Arabidopsis thaliana: one gene and its partners. The protein of the gene in region 1 interacts with the protein of each later gene in a pairwise test. Each region holds a gene or a part of one and is shown in the gene's direction. Other genes may lie near its edges.

The links.
Region 2: the proteins of CIPK5 (region 1) and HUB1 interact in binary tests that used the Arabidopsis thaliana proteins (3 or more experiments, as listed by UniProt).
Region 3: the proteins of CIPK5 (region 1) and SOS3 interact in a two-hybrid assay, tested with the Arabidopsis thaliana proteins (2 studies listed by BioGRID).

The regions. Positions count from the first base shown.
Region 1 is NC_003076.8:3,444,055-3,450,049, reverse strand, and holds CIPK5 (CBL-interacting protein kinase 5), read left to right. Parts: upstream 1-2,771; 5' UTR 2,772-3,143; coding exon 3,144-4,481; 3' UTR 4,482-5,021; downstream 5,022-5,995. Other genes in the region: ASG2 (transducin family protein / WD-40 repeat family protein), read left to right, coding at 1-104, 265-355, 488-583, 680-750, 844-971, 1,079-1,160. UniProt on the Arabidopsis thaliana protein: CIPK serine-threonine protein kinases interact with CBL proteins. Binding of a CBL protein to the regulatory NAF domain of CIPK protein lead to the activation of the kinase in a calcium-dependent manner.
Region 2 is NC_003071.7:18,542,260-18,551,154, reverse strand, and holds the start of HUB1 (histone mono-ubiquitination 1), read left to right. Parts: upstream 1-2,502; 5' UTR 2,503-2,907; coding exon 2,908-3,024; intron 3,025-3,204; coding exon 3,205-3,366; intron 3,367-3,449; coding exon 3,450-3,528; intron 3,529-3,647; coding exon 3,648-3,875; intron 3,876-3,973; coding exon 3,974-4,135; intron 4,136-4,865; coding exon 4,866-5,059; intron 5,060-5,134; coding exon 5,135-5,218; intron 5,219-5,343; coding exon 5,344-5,463; intron 5,464-5,559; coding exon 5,560-5,746; intron 5,747-5,836; coding exon 5,837-5,997; intron 5,998-6,079; coding exon 6,080-6,151; intron 6,152-6,364; coding exon 6,365-6,441; intron 6,442-6,814; coding exon 6,815-7,009; intron 7,010-7,120; coding exon 7,121-7,193; intron 7,194-7,285; coding exon 7,286-7,372; intron 7,373-7,448; coding exon of another isoform or gene 7,449-7,484; exon of another isoform or gene 7,485-7,608; intron 7,609-7,610; coding exon 7,611-7,748; intron 7,749-7,833; coding exon 7,834-8,036; intron 8,037-8,130; coding exon 8,131-8,296; and 3 more. Other genes in the region: AT2G44970 (alpha/beta-Hydrolases superfamily protein), read left to right, coding at 1-73, 248-494, 660-788, 900-949, 1,035-1,132, 1,213-1,500, 1,683-2,156. UniProt on the Arabidopsis thaliana protein: E3 ubiquitin-protein ligase that monoubiquitinates H2B to form H2BK143ub1. H2BK143ub1 gives a specific tag for epigenetic transcriptional activation and is also prerequisite for H3K4me and maybe H3K79me.
Region 3 is NC_003076.8:8,237,965-8,246,404, reverse strand, and holds SOS3 (Calcium-binding EF-hand family protein), read left to right. Parts: upstream 1-2,961; 5' UTR 2,962-3,274; exon of another isoform or gene 3,275-6,177; 5' UTR 6,178-6,225; coding exon 6,226-6,316; exon of another isoform or gene 6,317-6,418; coding exon of another isoform or gene 6,419-6,434; coding exon 6,435-6,517; intron 6,518-6,594; coding exon of another isoform or gene 6,595-6,607; coding exon 6,608-6,667; intron 6,668-6,754; coding exon 6,755-6,863; intron 6,864-6,971; coding exon 6,972-7,024; intron 7,025-7,143; coding exon 7,144-7,224; intron 7,225-7,329; coding exon 7,330-7,442; intron 7,443-7,545; coding exon 7,546-7,624; 3' UTR 7,625-7,922; downstream 7,923-8,440. Other genes in the region: AT5G24275 (En/Spm-like transposon), read left to right, coding at 1-134, 234-389, 519-633, 730-946, 1,027-1,164, 1,242-1,455.

The DNA.
Region 1 (5,995 bases):
TACGAATTCATAGAGTAGGTGATGATAAACCGATGGAAAATACAGTTGACAATGCCTCCTCAGGAACTGCATCGTCATCTCAAAATGATAGGACGTCTTATCAGGTTAGTTCTAAGATTATGGTATTGTTATTTATTTTAAAGCAAAACAAATTTAACACATTGAATACGTTTTAAGTTAGTACTTGACTTCTTTTATGCTGCGTCATACTTTTACCTAATTTGATGGATACCTTTTACACCAATGGTTTTTTGGTGATTATAGCCAGAGGGAGCCATTGATATGAAACGTAGATATGTTGGCCACTGTAACGTAGGAACTGATATTAAGCAGGCCAGTTTTCTTGGTCAGAGAGGTAAGTTTCTTGGGGTTGCAACTTTCATGTTATCTGAGTGCAATTTTCCATTCTAGTAGAAAAAGCGGTTTATAAAATTTGAAATTCAATACGGTATCGACTTTCTGTGAACATTTTATTACCAAATTTCAGGTGAATATATTGCAAGTGGAAGCGATGACGGTCGGTGGTTTATATGGGAGAAACAGACTGGAAGGCTTATGAAAGTGCTCGTTGGCGATGAATCAGGTGATCTTTTTTCCTTTCACATTTTATCCATTACATAAGTATCTTTTTTTTTCATTGAATTTCGAGTTGGCTAAAAGAATCATCTTTCGTCTCTAGTTTTGAACTGCATTCAATGCCATCCGTTTGATAGTGTTGTAGCAACGAGTGGAATTGATAACACAATAAAGGTAAGCAGGCACACAAAGCTGTCTTCAGGGTTTGGTTTTCATTTCGTGTAAGATCTCTAAAACTAACATTTGCATGTAAAAATATGTGTACAGATATGGAGCCCAACCGCATCAGTCCCATCAATTGTAGCAGGAGGATCAGCTGGACCAGCAACCGCCAATGTAGTGGAAGTAATGGAGAGTAATCAACAGAAGCTAAGCCGCAATCGAGAGAATCCTCTGTAAGTTTTCTGGGATAGGTGGTTTGAGTTAATATAAAAGCTCCAAGGCGGTTTCAGAGTACACAAAATGGGTTTGATGATTTGGTACATTGATGATTCATTTGCAGGTCTGTGGAGCTAATGCAAAGGTTTAGGATGCAAGAATTTGCAGAAGGAAACTTTCACCCATTTGAATGTACTCAGAGCTAAAGCAGGAGGGAACTGTAGAGGTATAATAAGCTTGCTTTGTGAAGGTGATGGTGGAATAACAATGGTTTTGAATATGAATAATGAATAATAAGGTTTGATTAGGTTTCATATGTAGCAAAAGCTTTCTCTCTGTAAAACTCATGCATAGCTTCCTTCTAAAAGCTTTTTTTGTTGTTGTTGTTGTTGTTGTACAGTTTGATATTGGCTTCTTCTTTTGAATGTGAATATTCATCGTTATTTTACATTGTTTTTTCATTTCTGTCGCGTTTAGTAGACAGCATAAGGCTGTATGTGTTATGTGTCCAATCTCGTTATTTTAATATAGACTTGTGGAGGAAGCTCTAACCACTTTGCTGCTTTAATTAATCTTGTCTAGTGTAAACTTTTTTACCTATTTATATATTGCTGCTGGGGGCACTTGCCTCCACAAGCCATAACGTGGGTCTGCCCCTGACTTTAGTATGTATTTGGACAAGGTATGCTTCTATTTGGACTAATCCCGCATACGTGTTTTTTTGTATACAATTATTAGTTATATTTTTATGGTGTTATTAATGGTTAGTAAAGTAGTCTAATTCCTGATCAGTAGACTAGATCCTAAAACATTCCTTGGTGGAACACAATAGATCTCCCTACTTTGAAGATAGTGACATGACATCCCTAAATAACGATTAGCTAGCCGTGCATTAAGTTTTGGCTAATAATCTTTTATCTTTTGATGATAAAAATGGAATTGAGCTATATGATTTAGAAACAAATTAATATTGTAAATGATTTTGAATTTTTGTTTTTAAAAAAAAATGGATATGTTAATTAGAATTTTCATGGTCTACTCACCAGAAACTTGATTTGTATGCTAGTTTATGAAATGATTTTAAAATAATTTAAATTTTTTATACGAAAGGTTGGGTGGAACCACCACATAAGATAAGGGGGACAAAAAGCATTAGACCGTTGGAGAGAATTATTGACATTATTTTAAGGAAGTTCTGTCAATAATTGATTACCTATTCCTTTTTCTCCGACGATATTTATTCGTGAAAAAGTAAAATTTAATAGAATTATAGAAAATCATAGCATTCAAACAGCATAATCTTATTTGATGATAACATAATCTAAAGTTTAGGTTATGTTATTTACACATACTGTGTTATATTTACCTATTTAAATTGCCTATTTCCTTTGACGTTGATTATTATTTTGACACTGTTTTATTTTCTTCTAGAAATTGGTGTATTGTAAAATAATAGAAAATTTTAAGTGTTACGTTATACAAAAATGATTTAACATTATAAGGTAATAGAGAATATTAAAAAAAAAAAAAACATACATATGACCCCCAAAGTCTTAGAAATAATTGTTAGCATCTAGTTTTGTCCAAGTAATTAACAAATTAAGAAAGGAAAAAACACAAGAGACATTGTTCTGAATGTTGTTCTTAAGAATAAAATCTAGCAAACAATATGCCGTGTGTAGAAATATAGAAGGTTATACAAAATTCTTTATGTACAACACTATAACAAAACAAAAACAAAATCTAGTACCCATAATTTTTTTAACTGCAAACAATATGTTTTAAATGATGACCATTTTTTTTTTTTTTTTTTTTTTGTAAAAAAAACTTATTTTCCATATAAAAAACAAATTCCAAAGAAAAAGTAAAGTTATTGCAGTGTGACATGTGTGACTTTGTGAGTGGCTTATCACCTTGTCTATAAATTCAAAGAGTGTTCAGTATATAATAAGAGGACACCACGTAGCTGCGTTTGTGATTCATTTGCACACTTCTTCTTCTTCTTCCTCATTTCTCTTCCTCTCCCATATTCCATGGAATTGCTCTACTTCTTCACCTATGAGAGTAATATATCCTCATGTACTCAAAATACTAATCAAACTTCATGCTTCAACACCACCTTTTCTTAATCCTCCTTCTTCATCTTCTTCTTCCACTATTTCATTTTCCCTAGTCGGTGTAAATATCAAATGGAGGAAGAACGGCGAGTTCTGTTCGGAAAGTACGAGATGGGAAGGTTATTAGGCAAAGGAACCTTCGCCAAAGTCTATTACGGCAAAGAGATCATCGGCGGCGAGTGCGTCGCAATCAAAGTCATCAACAAGGATCAAGTAATGAAGAGACCTGGAATGATGGAACAAATCAAACGCGAGATTTCAATCATGAAGCTCGTTCGTCATCCCAACATAGTTGAATTGAAAGAAGTCATGGCTACGAAGACCAAGATCTTCTTCGTCATGGAGTTCGTTAAAGGCGGCGAGCTTTTCTGCAAAATCTCTAAAGGTAAGTTACACGAAGACGCTGCTCGTAGATATTTCCAGCAATTGATCTCAGCCGTTGATTATTGCCATAGTAGAGGCGTTTCTCATCGCGATCTGAAACCTGAGAATCTTCTTTTAGATGAGAATGGAGATTTGAAAATCTCCGATTTCGGATTATCTGCGTTACCGGAACAGATTCTTCAAGACGGATTGCTTCATACGCAGTGTGGAACTCCGGCGTATGTTGCGCCGGAGGTATTAAAGAAGAAAGGATACGACGGCGCGAAAGCTGATATCTGGTCGTGCGGCGTCGTTTTGTATGTTCTTCTCGCCGGATGTTTGCCGTTTCAAGATGAGAATCTGATGAATATGTATCGGAAGATTTTCAGAGCGGATTTTGAATTTCCGCCGTGGTTTTCTCCGGAAGCGAGGAGGTTGATTTCGAAACTCCTCGTTGTAGATCCAGATCGACGGATCTCGATTCCGGCGATTATGAGAACGCCTTGGCTCCGGAAAAACTTCACTCCGCCGTTAGCTTTCAAAATCGACGAACCGATTTGTTCTCAAAGCAGCAAAAACAACGAAGAAGAAGAAGAAGACGGAGATTGTGAAAATCAAACAGAGCCGATATCGCCGAAATTCTTCAACGCTTTCGAATTCATATCCTCGATGTCTTCCGGATTTGACTTATCGAGCTTGTTCGAGAGCAAGAGGAAAGTGCAATCGGTGTTTACGTCACGGTCGTCGGCGACGGAGGTAATGGAGAAGATAGAAACGGTTACGAAGGAGATGAACATGAAAGTGAAGAGAACGAAGGATTTTAAAGTGAAGATGGAAGGGAAAACGGAAGGGAGAAAAGGACGGTTGTCGATGACGGCGGAAGTGTTTGAAGTAGCGCCGGAGATATCGGTGGTGGAGTTTTGCAAATCGGCGGGAGATACTTTGGAGTACGATAGGTTATACGAAGAAGAAGTACGGCCGGCGTTAAACGACATCGTCTGGTCATGGCACGGTGATAATAATAACACTTCTTCCGAGGATTGTTGAATCAGTAGTTTTTGGTTCTGATTTAACCGGTTATCGGTTAACGTAGTATAACTAAGAACTGTTACATTGAACCCAAATTTTCTTTGGTTTAATAAAATTTTGGTTTTACTTCTTTTTCTTTGGTAAGGATTTTGATTTTGCTTCTAATTGAACCTAATTGTGTTGTTTTTAGGTACAAATGAATAAATAATTTGGGTTCAGATTAAATTAATCGACAATTAAGGGTATGTTAAGTCGAAAACGAAAATGACTATGAGTCGGGTTGTGGTTTAGAAGACCGACACGTGTGGTTTCTCAGAGACTTCGAAAAGATTCACCTTCTGTTATGAAGTCAAATCATTTGAATTTTGAAGTTCAAATAGTTAGTGGAGAGGACAAAGTCACAACAAATTAATTTATTTATGGGATCCGACGACTTTTTTTCATTAGTTTTCTTCTACATGTCCAACTTTGAATTGTAGCTGGGCATGATCGTAAGATAGAAGATTAGATGTGATTGATGGGATGAAGATAATGCTAATCTGAATTTTCTGCATAAATGAGTATGTTTATGTGTATTCAGTCTATCAAAATTACCCATTTCATACCATATGTTTACTATCATATTTTGTAATTTTTTTAGAAGCATAATAATGTAATAACCTAAAGAACAAAAAATATCGACTACATCATGCAAGAAGTTTCGAAGAAACCCAATCCTGTAAGAATTAATGGCGTATAAGTTATACTAAGTGAAAGAAAAATCCCCCAAAAAGTTAAAATGGATACAGACAAAAACAAGGATTAAAAGATAACAAGAGTAATGAGGTTCACCAGTAAACTCAATCCATTAAGAAAGAAATGGAGCTTTCACCATAATTAATATCCGACCAATAATCTAAAAAAAGGATCAATCAGTGGCTAACATGGGATTTTAGGACAAGGGTTGTGTCACAGTCAGAAAGTGACTCCACCAACATCAAATGGATAGTATTAAATCGAGTGTTTTTTGTTAAGATTAGATTTAACTATTTTAGGAGAAGAGAAACACCAATGAGGTTATTACTGGTACGTATTTGTGTCACTTTATGTTTGGTCATAATAAAATGGAGGATGACATTTTGTTTGGAACATAAAAAGGATATTGTAAGTTGTAACAGATGTTGCACCTCCTAAGGAAGAGGGTGTGTCATGTCATGTGTGGTCCTCCCCCATGTTCAAAAAAAATCACATCCAAATGCAATCCACTAGTTTTTGTTGTTGTATTTCTGAACAATAATTGGGTTTGAAAAAGAAGAAAACAAAAATTCAAAAAACTCAAATGAAAATTGAAGTCTGCATTGACAAAGTATTCTTGAAATTTAAAGACATGTTCAAATCACAACCTAACTCCAATGCACTTCCCTTGATCCAACTTCTTAAGCTTTGGGCAAATATCCACAAGTTTGGAGTTAATCTTCTTCTCATTGTAGAATATAAAAAGATTGATATTGTAGAGAGCATTGAAATGAGAAGAATACCAAACTCTTCCACAT
Region 2 (8,895 bases), on another chromosome or scaffold:
GCTCTTAATGAAGCTGCTTCTTATATAACTCAAGCAACGTCTTACTTAGGGAGCTGTTTTTCTGACTATTCAGGTACCCTTTCTTTCTATCTGTTGATGTCGTACTCAGTATGCAATTCCACGTTCATATGCTAGGCTTTACTTATGGAAAATATGCTTAGCAGATATTTATGGTGTTAGGATCTTATCGTCACCGTAACATAATTCAGGCTTTGCTTAGCATCTGTTCTTTCAATGCTTTCTTCAGTAGAATATGGTGGCAAGGATACTATTTCCCACCCCCATGAGTTGTTACGATCAACTTCCGGAGTTGACGGGAATTCCCCAGTGAGTGTATGCATTTCGCCTGGTGAAAGGTTTTCAACTTCTTCAGAGGCATCTACATCTGATGCCAACAGCCCGTCGAGGGAATCTACAGAGATTCTGCCACAGGCAACAAATGCAATAGTGACTTCGAATCGGTTAAATTTAAATGGAATTTCAATGTTCCAAGGGTACGTGTACTTTGTATTACAGATACAAATTCCCCATACTAGTAGATATGTAAAATCTTAATACTATGAATATGTGAAACTGAAGCAATACAATAATCTCTATACACTACTACTTCTTGTCAAGTTTTCAGCATTTGGGTGATTGATCTATTTTAATTCAATCAGGCTCATTGAGCGGGCACGGAGGACTGTTCGTGGCTCGGCAGATGACATAGGATGGTTACAGCGTGCCCCGGAGATGCCTCCTGTTGAAGATGGAACTGATAGGTTCAATAAAATTCTGGAAGACATCGGGTATGAATTGGTTGTAGTTGCATGTTTTGTGTGCTTTGTGGCCTTTTCAATATGCTGTTTAACATCCTGTTTTTTACTAAATGGCTGCGTTGATCTGGTTTTTATATCCAGGCATGGTGTACACAGGCTTCCAAATACAGTGGTGTACTTATTGGTTCCAGGTAGCAATTCTTATTCTTTGCTGCCAGCCACTTAAACTACATTACTGTATATTAGGACTCTCAAAATTAGTTGAATTTTTTTTAGGTCTTTTCAGCAATCATGGACCTCTATATTTTGTGGATACGAAAACGAAATTCTCAAAGATGGGTTTGGCGTGTCATATTGCGAAGATTCACAGCGAGGTAATCATAACTAACTCAACTTAGTACAGTTACATTTGGTGTATAGCATACTAATATATGGAGAAATGTTTATATATCAGTCCTCGGTTGAGAAAAATGCGAGAGAGATAAAGGAATACATAGAGGAACTCTGTTGGGGATCTAATAAGCGGGTTCTACTTCTTGGGCATAGCAAAGGAGGCATAGATGCAGCTGCTGCTTTATCACTATACTGGCCTGAACTAAAGGATAAGGTCGCTGGGTTGGTACTGGCGCAGAGTCCATATGGTGGAAGCCCAATAGCTACAGATATCCTCCGTGAAGGACAACTAGGTGATTACGTCAATTTGAGAAAGATGATGGAGATTCTAATCTCCAAAGTCATAAAGGTTTGCAACATTCCTGATCTAACAAAGTCATTTCAGTTGCATTATATCAGCTTCTTGTGATTGCCTGTTAAAATCCTTAGTTAGGTGGAACCGAGAAACTAGGGATAAACCAAAACTTATTTTGTTTCTGGATTCTATTGCTCTGCTGATCTTTCTGATGAATTCCTTGGAACATTGTGAAGGGTGACATTCAAGCATTGGAAGATTTAACATACGAGAGAAGAAAAGAATTCTTGAAGAATCATCCGCTTCCCCGAGAACTCCCCACGGTTTCATTCCGCACAGAAGCTAGCATTAGCCCAGCGGTTCTATCCACTTTATCACACGTAGCACACGCTGAACTTCCTCTGACAAACCAAGCCGCAAAACTGCCAGTGGTAATGCCACTTGGTGCTGCAATGGCTGCTTGCGCTCAGCTACTTCAAGTCAGATACGGTGAAAAGAGTGACGGGCTAGTGACTTGCTGTGACGCAGAGGTTCCTGGTTCTGTGGTTGTTAGACCCAAACGTAAACTAGACCATGCCTGGATGGTGTACTCTTCCTTGAACGAGGTTCCTTTAGAAGCTGATGCTGCTCAAGTTTGTGAAGCGCTCTTAACTTTGCTTGTCCAAGTTGAGCAAGAGAGGCAACAAAAACTCGCAACAAAAATCGATTGATAAACCAAATTGTTTTATTTCTACTTTCGTCTTGAGACTTCAAATTACTGTATTTGTTTCTATCTTTTTGTTTTATTTCTTACTAATTTACTATCAGGTTTGAATCACACGATAACAAAAAAATTATTACAAACGGTAGATTTTATATTTATAAGACTACTTAATTTGCTTCTTTTTTTTTCTTTTATTGTTGATTAATTTTTATTAGAAGATTAGTTATGTTTTTCTCTCTATTCCTTTAACGAACCGTGATCGTGCGGCTCGGATCGTTGGAGATTCTATGGACGGCCGATGCTTATATACTGTAAGTGGAATATGTAATTCCCGAAAGTGCCCTCCAGATGTTCACAAAATTACGCCATCGTACTCGAATTAACTTCAACTCTCTCTTCTCTCTCTCTTTCTTTTCACTCTTGTTTTTGTTTCTGTGAGTGCTGTGTGTGTTCTCGGTTTGTAATATCTAAGTCGCACAAAGATCAGACAAAGTCTGTTTGCGTTTGATAGCATTAGAGTCTGATCGAATTTGGAAGACCTGTGAGATTAGGGTTTCTTTTTGTTTGTTTTTTTTTATTCCGAAGGAGAGCTGCGGAGCAATTGGAATTACCTCGGTTAAAGCAATCACGTAGCTTTGGATCGTTTAGGGTTTTCTCATTGGGTTTGGGGGATTTGTATTCGAGCTTCCTCAAACTCAATCTGATGGTGATGTGAGACAAGGCTTAATCCTGTTAATTGGCGATTCTAGGGTTTTTCAATGGCGAGCACAGGCGAGCCTGACCGTAAAAGGCGTCACTTTAGCTCCATATCACCTTCTGAAGCTGCAGCCGCCGTAAAGAAACAGCCTTTCTTTTGGCCCTCCTCCGAGGACAAGGTTTCTTTCTTCTTCATCTCCCCCTTGTGCATGCCCTTTACATCTATTCTCTTACTTATCCAATCAATCATAGCTTTCCAGCTATTAGAGATTCATATACTGAATGTCTTTTGTCTCGAATTTGGTCTATTTTGGAATTGGGATTCTCTCTCTTAAGGAGTTTGTTTTCGTTTGATACAGCTTGATACTGCAGTTCTTCAGTTCCAAAATCTTAAGCTATCACAAAAGCTAGAGGCTCAGCAGGTTGAGTGTTCTATTCTTGAGGATAAACTCTCTCAGATCAAGGAAAAACAATTACCATACAACTCCAGTTTGAAGACTGTCCATAAGTCTTGGGAAAAGGTAACACTGAATTTGCTTTCGATTCTAATAGAACTTGGATTAGATCTCTTTTTCTAGAGAACTAATTAATGCTTGTATAGCAGCTTACAGCTTCAGTGGAATCATGCTCTGTTCGTGTGAGTGATTCAAGCAGCGGAGCTCATAGGTTTGTAAACAAGGAGGGTATGAACAACTTAAGCCCGCCTTTTCTTCGTTCTGTTAGTGCTAGGATCTAGTTTAGATTTGGTTTTATATGTTACAAATATGACTTTTTGAAAGGTTAACTTTAAATTGCTACACAGATGGGTCTTCTCCAGCCGTGAAAAACGATTTCATCAACCGGCTACTTGAAACTGGTGCTACTGAGAGCTCCTCATCCAATATCTGCTCGAATCAGATGGAAGAAAATGGAGTGAATACGTCAAGCCAGATGACGCAAACCTTGTATAATCTAGTAGCCGCGACAGAGGATTTGAGGTGTCTGAAGGATGAATTATATCCCACAGTTCTCAGAACCAATCTTGGTAAAGGTATGACTTCCACTGCGATCAATTGTCAGCTCTTGTTATGGCCTTTATAACATTTTAGTATTAACCCAGGTCCTATGTGGAATTGCTTTCTTTTCTAGATTTGTGCGGTCAGCTAGCTCTGAGTGAGTTGGAATCAGAAATTAAAAGTTTCAGAGGGGATCTAGATGATGTACTTGTGAAGTTCAAATCACTTTCTAGAGAATTGCAGAGTCATCGCGATGCTGATGCTAAAGTTAGAGTAGACCTCAAACGAATAAGAGGTAGCTACTTAGTCTCGTCTCACTCGACTATATACTGTTAAAATGGATTTTTTAATTGGCATTGTTTATATGGATATAGTATTCATGCATCAAATGTAAATTTGTAATCATATACGTGGCTTGACAAAAAAAGGTCCTATATACATGAAAAGCTACTGAAATCATATCTCGCTTTTGATTGATGAGGATAAGTGTAAGTAGAGGTGATCAAATTGTGAATCTTCCAATTCCACGCCTGTGTATTTATGTCCAGCACTACTCAGTTGTTTAATAGCCATGATTGGATTTAGATCATAGAGATTAAGATTGAAGAGAGAGATACATTAAGACTGGAAGAAAACCTCTATGGTAGAGCCAGCTGTTAAGAAGACATGTAGCTGTGGAAGATATACTCATTAGCGAACTGATGGGTGTACAAAACCCTTCTGAGACATGAACTTCTTAGTTTTCTTTTATACCATTTACCCATATTTATATATTTCGGTAGATTTTAGGAGATAGAGAAGCTGGTAATTCTTTGAGAATGACATACATCCACATAAGTGAAGCATCTTAATTTTGTTGATAAATTACCCGTTTACCTTAAGATGTAAGATTTCAATACTGACAGTAGCCACAGTTAAGAAATTCAAAGAGTTAAAATTTATTTTAGTTTACATGCCTGCTTTTGGATTAATGCTTCTTGACTACCGCATCAACTGATATTATACTTTATTTGGTCTATTCGAAGGGGAGCTAGAGGATGAGGTTGTGGAGCTTCAGCAGTGTAATGGTGACTTGTCAGCATTGAGAGCAGAAAGGGATGCAACAGCTGGGGCGTTTTTCCCAGTGTTGAGTCTTGGAAATAAGCTTGCTACCAGTGATCGGGAGAGGGATAAACAAAGGGATCTGCAAGACATGGAAACAGTTCTGAAAGAGTTAACGGTATCTTTGTTTTTCTGATTTGTTTTCATTGGTAATTCTTTAAGTTTTGGGTTGATAACGGCCTGGTTTCGGTAGGTCCTGGCTTCAGGCAGGCTACAACAGCTAAAAAATCTTCATGAGGAGAGGACAAAGATGCTTGGAAAAATGAGTAATTTACAGGTCAGTGTATTGATCCAATTGGGGTATTTGTATTAGTTTGTCTCTGTATGGGGTTTGATATATGAAAATTTGTGGAATGGTAGCCTCTTCCTATTGCTAAAACTGATGTAAGAGTTTTCTAACAGAACAAGTCAAAGTCTGTGAGGTGCATCTCATCTTCTCAAGCCTGCCTTTCTTTGAAAGACCAGCTAGAAAAATCCAAAGAAGCAGTTTTCCAGTATATGGCTTTACTTGAGAAACTGCAGGTTATATCTGGTTTGCGATTTTCATTTTGTATCTATGTTTATAAAATTTACGTTGTATATTTAGTTGTGAAGCTTTCCTCCATTCGAAAATTTCAGGTTGAAAAAGATAGTATAGTCTGGAAGGAAAGGGAGATAAATATAAAAAATGAACTAGGTGATGTTTCTCGAAAGACGTCTGCTGTTACTGATTCTAGAATGGCTTCTTTGGATTCGGAGATACAGAAACAACTGGATGAAAAAATGCGAATCAAGACTAGGCTGGGAAATATATCAAGAGAGCGAGGTCACAAATTGATTACTTTGACTTCCAATTCTGTATCTCCCACCCACACCTGTTTCACTTTGGAGTCTGATTAAGTTATTCGTATGTCAGGTAGAAAAGAAATCTTTGCAGATATGAAGGCATTAATTTCTTCGTTCCCCGAGGAAATGAGTTCCATGCGTAGTCAATTAAACAATTATAAAGAGACTGCTGGAGGTATTCATTCTCTGCGGGCTGATGTCCAGTCCCTCTCTGGGGTTCTATGTAGGAAGGTGGGAAATAATGTGAACAGTGATTGATGCTTATTGTTACAGTTTATGTTATGCTTACTTAATAAGCTTAATTGGTGAACAGACAAAAGAGTATGAAGCATTGCAATTGAGATCAGCTGATTATGCTTCTCAGTTAGGTGACCTGAATGCTACGGTATGATGCAATGTATCTACCTTTTTCAGTGTACTGCCCATGACTTATATATGTTGACAGTGTTCATATTGGTTATTGTTACTTTGCATTATTTCTTGGAAAAAGTATAGTGAAAAGGCGGATTAGCAATTTAAATCTTGTTAAATGTCTTTGGTTGGCAAAGTGGTAGTTGTTATGTTCTTTACTTTCAATTGATTGGAGTCTGTCATGCAGGTTTGTGATTTGAAGAACAGTCATGAGGAGTTAAAGTTGTTTCTGGACATGTATAAACGTGAGTCCACTGATGCGAGGTAAGCACAACTATATATAACGATATCTAAGATTTCAATTCTTAGAGAAAAGTTTCCTTATCTTCCCCTTCTCACTGTCCAAATATATAGTATAACAACAAGTGCTGTTATTAATCTTGCCTTCTGACTGAACTATCGAATCTTGCTGAAAGTTTGTTGTTAATTTTTCTTGCGTTTCTGAAGAAACTTATGTTCACATTTTCAATTTATCCATGACAGCTTTTAATATCTGATCTATTTTTACAGTTCCATCTGATAAAAACTCTTTTGGATGTGTTAGGATTTGTTTATCTTCTTATCTTGACTGAACACATTATTATAATGCGGTTGGTATATTGCCTTAAGCATCACTGTCGATAATGTGCTATGGCAGGGACATAGCTGAAGCCAAGGAACAGGAGTACAGGGCTTGGGCTCATGTTCAGAGTTTGAAATCATCCCTTGATGAGCAAAATCTGGAGTTGCGCGTTAAGGCAGCAAATGAAGCTGAAGCCGTTTCCCAACAAATGTTGGCTGCTGCGGAAGCAGAGATTGCTGATTTAAGGCAGAAAATGGATGATTGTAAAAGGTAAATAAGTATAAGTAGAAGTCTGCAATTTATAGATGCAATCACGCAGTTCTTCCATAGGAATTCTTTGAGAGTTTTTTGTTTGACAAGGATAAGTCTTTTCTGTTTCAGGGATGTCGCCAAGCATTCTGATATCTTGAAATCTAAACATGAAGAACATGGAACATATCTTTCTGAAATACAGGTTGGCTTATGAAATTTCGTGTTTCTTTGTTCTTAACATATTTTAAAAACCTTGATGTTGCGTATCGATTTACAGTAACTATATTCTTTTAGACAATTGGAAGTGCCTATGAGGACATTGTACCGCAAAACCAACAGCTTTTGCTTCAAGTTACAGAGAGGGATGACTATAACATCAAGGTATCGTGTCCAAACTCTTCTAGTTCCTCTATCTGATCTATCTCTGTGACTTCTCACTTACTCTTATATCTAGTAGTGTTACATTTATTCAGAGATTGATGGATCGTTTTAATGGGCATGGACCAATTTCTGTGGTTATACCTTGTATGTTTTGCTAGAATATCATGAAAAAAAGGATGGTTTGTTACTTGGATCAGACAATGAGATGTAATTTTTTGCTCGCCCATTGTTGTTTCAGCTTTTCTTGGAAGGCATAACTTCTAGGCAGATGCAAGATACTCTGCTTATCGATAAATACATCATGGATAAGGATATACAGCAAGGCAGTGCATATGCCAGTTTCCTATCCAAGAAATCATCAAGAATTGAAGATCAGGTATATCTGTGTGTGCCCGTATGCTCAAATTGTAAGCCTCCTTATTGTGAGACTTTGACTAAGGTGTTTTTCTTTTTCCTTGCAGTTGAGGTTCTGCACAGATCAGTTTCAGAAACTAGCGGAAGATAAATATCAAAAGTCTGTTTCTCTTGAAAATCTGCAAAAGAAACGTGCAGACATCGGGAATGGCTTGGAACAAGCTAGGTCAAGGCTGGAGGAGTCCCATTCTAAAGTTGAGCAAAGTCGGCTGGATTATGGGGCATTAGAACTGGAACTGGAGATTGAAAGGTAAATCAATTGCTCCCTCCATCTTCTCTATCCTAATTAATAGTCATAAACAAGTGTTAGTGATGAAGGTATCGTTCTTTTCTGCGTATATCAGGTTCAATAGGAGAAGGATAGAGGAGGAAATGGAAATAGCCAAAAAGAAAGTTTCTCGTCTTCGGTCTCTCATAGAAGGATCATCGGCCATTCAAAAGCTCCGACAAGAACTCAGTGAATTTAAAGAAATTCTGAAGTGTAAGGCCTGCAACGATCGCCCAAAAGAGGTAAAGAGTCACTGCTCTCCATTATTTAGATCTCAGCAAGACGCTCAAATCATGATCCCTTGAATCTTTTAGTCAACTGCGTGCGTGATTGCTGATTGGTTTTGGTCTTTGGCTTAACAAACTAGGTGGTGATTACGAAGTGCTACCATTTGTTCTGCAACCCATGTGTGCAAAAGCTCACAGGAACTCGACAAAAGAAGTGTCCAACATGCTCAGCAAGTTTTGGACCAAATGATATTAAACCTATCTACATATGACCGCACCAAAACACTCTGAGCATGATGATGTATGATGAAACTGTGAAACACACACAGGTACTTTTTCTCATATAGGATAAACATTAGATCTCTCTGTAATTATTACTCTCTTTTATTGGGAAAGGTCATGAAGAATAATTGGATATGGCAAATCAGAGTTTTTGAGGAACCATTTTGGGATTTTGATAATGTGATAGAGAATAGGTAACACTGTTAGGGTTTATGTCTTTGGTGATACTTCCTTTTTGTTTGTAATTTGGAACATGGTTTCCGCAATTGATTTTTCAATTAAATCTTCTTTTTTGTTCTACATTTGTGTATGATCCAAACGTTTGTGATGTA
Region 3 (8,440 bases), 4.8 Mb from region 1:
ATGAGAGTGAAATCAGATATGCCTTTGTCCATGGTTCCTGCAAAGTTCCTACTCTTTCTCTACCTGAGAGGGAGGGTGTCTTTTCTTTCAAGGTTTTCCATTCTCGATTTCCCGAGCTTCATCTGAGCTTAAAGGTAGTAATGTTGTGGACTGAGTTATCTTACAAGTTGCAATATGTTTTTACAATGAGTAGAAAATGCCGGTTGTTGATAACATGTCCTCTTGATTTACAGATTCAGCTTACACCTGCTCAAATACTTCAAAGAGATGAGACATCTTATTCAAGGATGGGTTTAACACCTAAATCAAAGATGGCTTCAACCACATATTCACCGGCTCTCAGTAGCCAAACTGGCCCGAGCCTGAGGGATGTGGCACAGTTCACTGAGGTATATGGCCATCACCATTTAAGCCACAGATATTGATGTTTACATTTCATTTATGCCTAGGAAAAGCAGAACGATTTCTCGAATGATCTAACTTTTGTTTTCCGAGTTAACTTTTGAATTTTCCTGCAGAGCTTTAAAGAAAATCTTATTGGATACAGTGAACACAGAGTGGAAATAGATGAGCGCCTACATTGTTTGGAAGCTGAACAAAACCAGGCTAAGGAAGAGTTGCGTACCTTGCAAGGTAACTATTATCATTTGAAGAAGTTTTGATAACTACGATGGGGATTGAATTTGCATTGATGCTTACCTGCTCATGTTGCCTAAACCTTTATCTCAGCTTCTCTAGAACCTCTCGGTGCTATGTTCCCAGAATGCCTATCCACCAAAGAATCAATGATGAAACAGATTGAAGAGAAGCATCATGACACTGCAGCATCAGTTTTCTGTTGTTTGTACAGAAAGTCACCGCCTCCACAGTCACTGTTTCTGTCAAAGAAAGGAGTATTTGGCCTCGTAGCACTTCTTGGTTCAGTTGCCTCCACCTCCCTTAGCAGGTGACATAAATTTATACCCACAGTGTTACTACTGATCATAGTGGCCAAAACTTTTGTATCTGAAGTCATTTGGTATGCAGGGTGTTATCTGAATATTTGGGAGAAGACATGTTGCTCGCTTTGGTATGCAAATCGGCACAAATTGGACCTAATAATGCTGAGTTTCTCAGGCTTCAGTCCAATCATCGGTTTCATGTTCTATGTCTTGATGCAATCAGGTATTTGTCAACATATCGATAGCTAAACCTTAGAGTCGTTTCTGACAGAATCATAAGTGATCTTTTCAAACACGCAGACCTTGGAAGGATGGACTTTTGGAGAACGATCCTCAGAAGAAATTAGCCATGGATGACCCAAAGCTGCCCGATGGAGATCCCATACCGGGTTTCAAGGGCTATGCCGTGAACATGATTGATTTGGCTCCAGAGGAGCTCACTGTTCAAACTTACTCAGGATACGGGCTTAGAGAGACTTTGTTCTATAATCTCTTTGGGAATTTACAGGTATAGAGACCCAAAAGCAAGTTAAAGCAGCTCTTCCACACATCAATGGTGGTGGTGCAGTCTCTTTAGATGGTTTTATCGCAAAAGATAACGGATTCATATATTCCGGGTGCAGGTACTTGACCTTTTCTTGATCCTTGTATCCGTTTTAGTTCTTGAATTTAAACTGTAAAGCTCAAAACTCGAGTTTTATTCCTTGCATCTGTATTTACTGCGGATGATATGATTTATGGTTTTTGGATCAGCATACCGGAATTTCATTTCCCGATTACACTAAAGGAGGATGAAGAAGTGAAGCTGAGAAAAATGGAAGCAGCAAGAGATAAAGTGAGAATGGCAGCGAAGAAGATAGAGGAGGAGAAGTGTTCAATGCGTAAGGTAGACAAGAAAATGAAGAAAACAAATGAAAAATATCACAATGTCACAAACTCATTAGAGCTAATCCAGTCTCAGTCTTTAGAGTAATGAGAGTAAAACTGGACCTAAAACGATTCAAACAGTTTGTTTACCTGTTGGTTATCGGTTTGGTTTTTGTGTTTTTGGATTAGTCACTTTTGTTCTGAAATTTCATTTTCTTTTTCGGTTAATGGTATTTTGTTCACCAATTTTCTATTTCAAAAGTTTGTTTTTGATCTTGCTGCTATGATCTTTTTAAATAACTAGATTTTTTGAACCATAACGAACATATTATAAGAAAATAGCCATGGTAGCAAAACCAAACTTTTAAAATATCACCAATCCAACAGACAAAAAGAGAATACTAGTGGGCAAAAAGTGAAGGAAAATTTATCATTTCACATCGTAATTTTTTGTTTAATTGAAAAAGTGCAAATGAAATGATGGGTCAACTATAAATAAAATAAAGATTTTGTAATTGAACTAAGAAAATAAAACTCTGTGGATCATGACGAAAGTTAGAAAAGTTAGGCACATGTAGTTTCAGTGTTGTCATGTTTTTTTTTATGTAAGAGTAGGAAGCTCTCTTATAGGACGGGTATGATCAGCTGACAAGTTCCAAACCCTATAAAAAGTGATGTACATTGTGGAATCTGGTAGCTTGACGATGATGAATGTGATATATCTCTTTCATAGTTACGTTTTCATGGTAATTGTTAAAATTTTCATAAACAATCGAGTTCATTTTTATCGGAATCATAATAATTACTACAAAAATGAGCATACGTATAAATGTAATTATCAATCATCTGTAAGAAAATTTGTATTAGTTAGTTTAAGAAATATATTAGCGACTTTTTTTTTGGTCACAAGAGTGTCCATTTTATTTATATCAAACATCAAACTAAGGTCCAAGACAAACACATCAAGCGAAGGTGTAAGACAAAATTTCTTATGAAATATATAATTAACTTTTTTAAAATTGGTGTATTTTCAGAAGTGAATAATATTTTAGGTTATTTTTATATCAAAAACTGCCTCTCATATTTATAATTTTTTAAAAGATTATTTGCCAACAACCACCACAAGTGTCAACAAAAGGAAATTAAAAAGTGAGGTGGGACTTGAAAACAGTACTACTCTAATATTTTTTTTGTTTGTCATAAATAGAAGGTCGAGGAAACATTGCTATATAGTTTATAGTACACGATATAAAAATATATTTTCAAAACCGACATAACATCGGGATCCATCTGCGCATGGACGGACACAAACCTAACCCGATGTTGGGAAGCTCGTCACAAATTTGTTCTTCTATTTAAATAACTCTCATTTTGCCCTTTTCCTCTTCCAACACCATTATTCAATTATTCAAGATCGAGACAAGTGAAGAGTCGACAAGAACATATAGAGATTCATCCATATCTTGGTTAGTTATTTTTGATCTTATTTTTTTTGTTTCTTCGATTCACCATTGCTGAGAAAATCTTTCATCTCTATCCAATGTTTTTTTTTTCTATCACTTCCATGTTTTGGTTTTCTGTTTCGTAATTTTTAGTCCACCTCAAGATATATGTAAAGGAATTCACTGTTTTCCTCTCTCTTTTTTTCGAAATGGAGGTTTATGAGCTTGAAGTTTATCCCATCTTGGGTTTTCTTCAAGAAAGAGTCAAAATATGTCCGTGTTTCCAGGAATCTTCTGATAAGATTTAGTATAATTCGGTTAAATATTAGAAAAAACAAACAAACCAAAGCAAAACCATTCTTTAAAACTGACTCAATTGAGTTCTTTAGTGCTATAGACTGAATTGAACCGTTTGATTTTTGTTTTTCTTCTAATTGAGTGTATAGTTTCCAACATTCCATTAATCATTCAATGGAATTTGGCTTTGGTTTTGGTTTCAATCGAAATCAAGTTATTTCAGATTAGAGATTACAAATTGGATCATATCCGGTTTGGTCCATCTCGGTTCGATTTTGGTGGGTGTTTAATTAGTTGGTAGCCATTAGATATTTAGAACTGTTTTTTTGTTTCTTGTGTCACTTTTGGTGATTTAGAGTCTAAGGAGAGGAGATGGCAAATTTGATTTCTTACTAAAAATCAAAGACCACACCTAATAAACTTATTTATAGCAAATAAATTATAAAAGTCAATAGCTGCAAGTTTTTTTTTTTTTCATTTTTACTATTTAAATACTTATAGAGAAAATAATTAATTTTAAAACGTCATATTGCTGCGTGGCCGGTTTGATTAAACAACATTTTTGTTATTAATTATACAAAAAGATCGCGAGAAGTAAACAACAAGATGAAAATACTGCTTCTAAATTAGATATGTCTAAGTTTGTTTACACGACGTACATTGAGTATGATTACGTATAGATCTAAAAAACAGGTAATGAGAATTTGGAGGCTCCACACATAACAAAATCAAAATGGTCCATAAATTAATACATTAATTAGAAATGTCATAGAAAAGCCAAATGCACCAAAACCTTCCTTAGGCATTAGTTGATCATTATTAATGATTCATTAATTAACCAACTAGGCTCATGTAGTTTTCAAATATATACTATATTAGATTTGAGGTTCCAAGTTCAAGATTCGCTTTGCCTGGTCAAAGACAGGCTCTGATATGTACCAAATTAAATGCTAGTATGGTTGAGGATTTTACGTGGCTTTTTTGGAACAAAACGAGATTTAAATATACTATATAGTCTCTAGATATTAGTGTAAGTGTAATCAAGCCCTTTTTGTTTTATTTATTAGTAAAACACATATAAATTGCCTACATTGAAAAAAGCAACAAAAGGTTGTCTCAATCTCGTGATTATTGATTTTTGATAAAGCATCACTTTTTAATGTGGTCCCATGGCCATTCATATTGTAACTCTTCTCTTAGTTCTCTATCCTTTTCGTTCAAAATCCATTCTAGTCTCTCTTCACTTAAAAATGTACTCACCAAAACAACTTAAATCATGTTGGGTCTGATTGGTAACACAAAACTTTAGCTGTTAGCTGGAGCGGTAAACTGTTACGAAATAGTACAAAACTGTCTAAAAGAGCTGTACAGAAAAGTTTAGAATAAAACTTTTTGTAACGTTTTTGATAAAGTTTTTTTGAATGGTAACTGTCAAAGTTGTACAGTTTGTACAACTTTGATAATGAGTTACCATTCAAAGCCGTTATTTATTCAACCTATCCGGCTTCTTATTATGTTCCTAAACTTACGACATGGTTGTATTACTCGCTTAAATGTGTTCTTGTGATTGAGTTGGACATAGGTTCAAGCTTATTTGGAAAAGAAAAGAAAACATCTTTGTAGATATTTACTAGAGTACATTGACTGATTCATGTATATACGTGGACCAACGTCGATTAGATTTGATATTGATCCGGTATTTGTATTTATGTATTATCTATATGTATGCATATATCATAGGAGACTTTGATCATTTATCTATGTTATTAGGGATAATAAAATTAGGAGTAAACTAATTATCTCTTATATCTATACACCTAGTCATTAGCGTGGCTAATACGGCGACTTGCCTACACCTTCTGTGAATTATATAATATTTGGTTTCATTACGTTTATTGTGAATCATTACTAAATTATAGATTAAATAGGGAAAACGCTGTTTTTGTTCTAATTTTGGCTACTTCTGTTAATGAATTGATTGTTTAGGGAGAGCTTACTAGCTGTCGTGAAAGCTACAACTATTTTAATGGCTAACTTTGCCACCTATATCCTATGTATTTATTATGTAAAAAAAAAAATGTATAAACCAATGACATAATCGTTCGTATAGCCGTCGACTTCTATTGTATATTTGCTCAAACGTCGACCCTTTCAAAATTTTAATATCGATGTTTGTCAAACTCTTGCAGATTTTGATGAATTCGACGCTAGATTGCCTTTAACGAAATTCAAATGTTACATATACATAGACGATATATATATACATGCATTAGATGTACATGATTAGTGCTCATCTACATTAATATTTCATGTATGTATATGTAATTAAATATTGAATTTCATTAGAAACATTTTGGTAATCTCGTGAGTTTGCCAAAATATGTTTACTTTGTTTGAGTTTGACCACAAAAAAAACACTAGAAAAGTCAATAACGTGACAAACTAAACAAGTTGCCTATTATTAATTGCACTCGATCTTAATTGGTTTGTTCTAGGACCATTTTTAGTAGAAGTAAAACCAGCGAAAACGAATGTAGGATTCAGTCGAAGGGTGTTTTATAAAATCATCAAATTATTAGGAACAATGAAATATCTGTAAATTAACCAAGATTATTTGCGTTTGGTTGTAGCGTGAGAAAAGCAAAGGCTAATAACAGTTGAGAGAAGGGTGTGTTTGTATGGGCTGCTCTGTATCGAAGAAGAAGAAGAAGAATGCAATGCGACCACCGGGATATGAGGATCCCGAGCTTCTTGCATCCGTCACGCCATGTTAGTTTTTAGTTTAAAATCTTATTAGTAAGACAATCTTTAAATGTTACAATAGCATGTTGTAGAGTTTGGTAAACTTTTTCAAATTTTATTTTACTTGTAATGGGAGGGACAATAGTCACGGTAGAAGAAGTGGAGGCTTTGTATGAACTGTTCAAGAAGCTAAGCAGCTCAATTATCGATGATGGTCTTATTCATAAGGTTTCTTCTTTCACTCTAAAAGGTCCATATGTAGACAGCAATTAGGTAATCTATATAGCTTAATTAGAGTTTAAAAGTTTGATGTTGCAGGAAGAATTTCAGCTGGCTTTATTCAGAAATAGGAACCGGAGGAATCTCTTCGCTGATCGGGTACATATAGTAACTACCTAGCTAGAACAAGTGACATTATTGAAAACATATGTAAATTTAAACAAAGTTCTGTTTTATAATATGCAGATATTTGATGTATTTGATGTGAAGCGAAATGGAGTGATCGAGTTTGGTGAATTTGTCCGGTCCTTAGGTGTCTTCCATCCAAGCGCGCCGGTCCATGAAAAAGTCAAATGTCATTCTTCTAGCCCCAAAAATTGTTTCATATTCATTCTATGTGAATTTACTTGATATTCTTTTCTTAATTGGCTAACTAACAAAGAATTTTCTCATGAATTTGCAGTTGCTTTCAAGTTGTACGATTTACGACAAACTGGATTCATCGAGCGAGAAGAAGTGAGTCCATTTACGGATACTTTGTTTTGGTACCCTCCAGATTAAACAGTTTTACTCCACTAACGTTTATGTGTGTTGATCTAACATGTATATACCATAATGAATTACATTTTGATTAGTTGAAAGAGATGGTAGTAGCGCTTCTTCACGAATCCGAACTAGTTCTTTCCGAAGATATGATTGAAGTAATGGTGGATAAGGTAATCACTCCCACACCGATGCACATTTGTTTACTAGATATTAATTCCAATACTGAAGATGATATGATAAAGAATTTATAAGGAAATGGTGGTATATATTTGCAGGCTTTCGTGCAAGCAGACCGCAAAAACGACGGAAAAATCGATATAGATGAATGGAAAGACTTTGTATCCTTGAATCCATCGCTCATCAAGAACATGACTTTGCCATATCTAAAGTGAGTTCATAATTTACACCGTGACCAACTTTGATCCAAACCAACTGCTTTGATTGTTGCATTGAATCAAATTGACTAATCAGAAGATTCTTGGTAAATGTAGGGACATAAATAGGACGTTTCCAAGTTTCGTTTCATCTTGTGAAGAGGAAGAAATGGAATTGCAAAACGTATCTTCCTAATATAAGCCATGCAAGGAAAGATAAATATACATAAAACGAATATTTTTGTACAATATCTTAAAAGAGGAAGATAGAGATGTAAGCTAGGATTTGGAAATAAACCGATCTTGATAACGATATTGGACTTGCCTTGTGTACTGTATATATTTAGTTATTTACATAGCGACTCTCCATCTCACATACATAATTACTAATTAAATATTTACAAATCTAGTCTATTATTGCTTCATTGTTGTATATACCAAAATATATGATCCACCTTTTGCGGATATTCATATTTTTGTTACATGAAAATATTCGTGTTTTTTTTAGAATAACAATAAAAAATTTGTACACACATGGTTTATTATTGTAGATAATATTAATATATATCAAACGAAATTTTAAAAGTAGATGATTTATGAAAATAATTTTTGCTTATTTTAATTAGTTCTTGAGTAAAATTATTTATACATTCTAGATATTAAATAATGTTGAATTTTTAATTGAATAAACACTTTATTATATATAAAAATTGAAAAACAAAGCAAGCCGAGGAATCTCTCTCTAATCTATCTCCAAGACGGACCAAACCAGTTTTAGTTCTATCTCTCAATCTCTCTGATCAGCTCCATTTCCAATGTAAGCCCACCAACTTCAACTCTAATCTCCATCTTCCTCTTCCTCTTCAAATTCGTTTAGTTCAACAAGTTCCCATCTTTCCAGTGTCAATCGACGATTCCTTTTTCCGTTAATACGCATGTATTTGATTCTTATTGCTGAGGAATTGAAGAACCATTTTGATCATTGTTGTACCCATTGATGTCAAATTCAAGA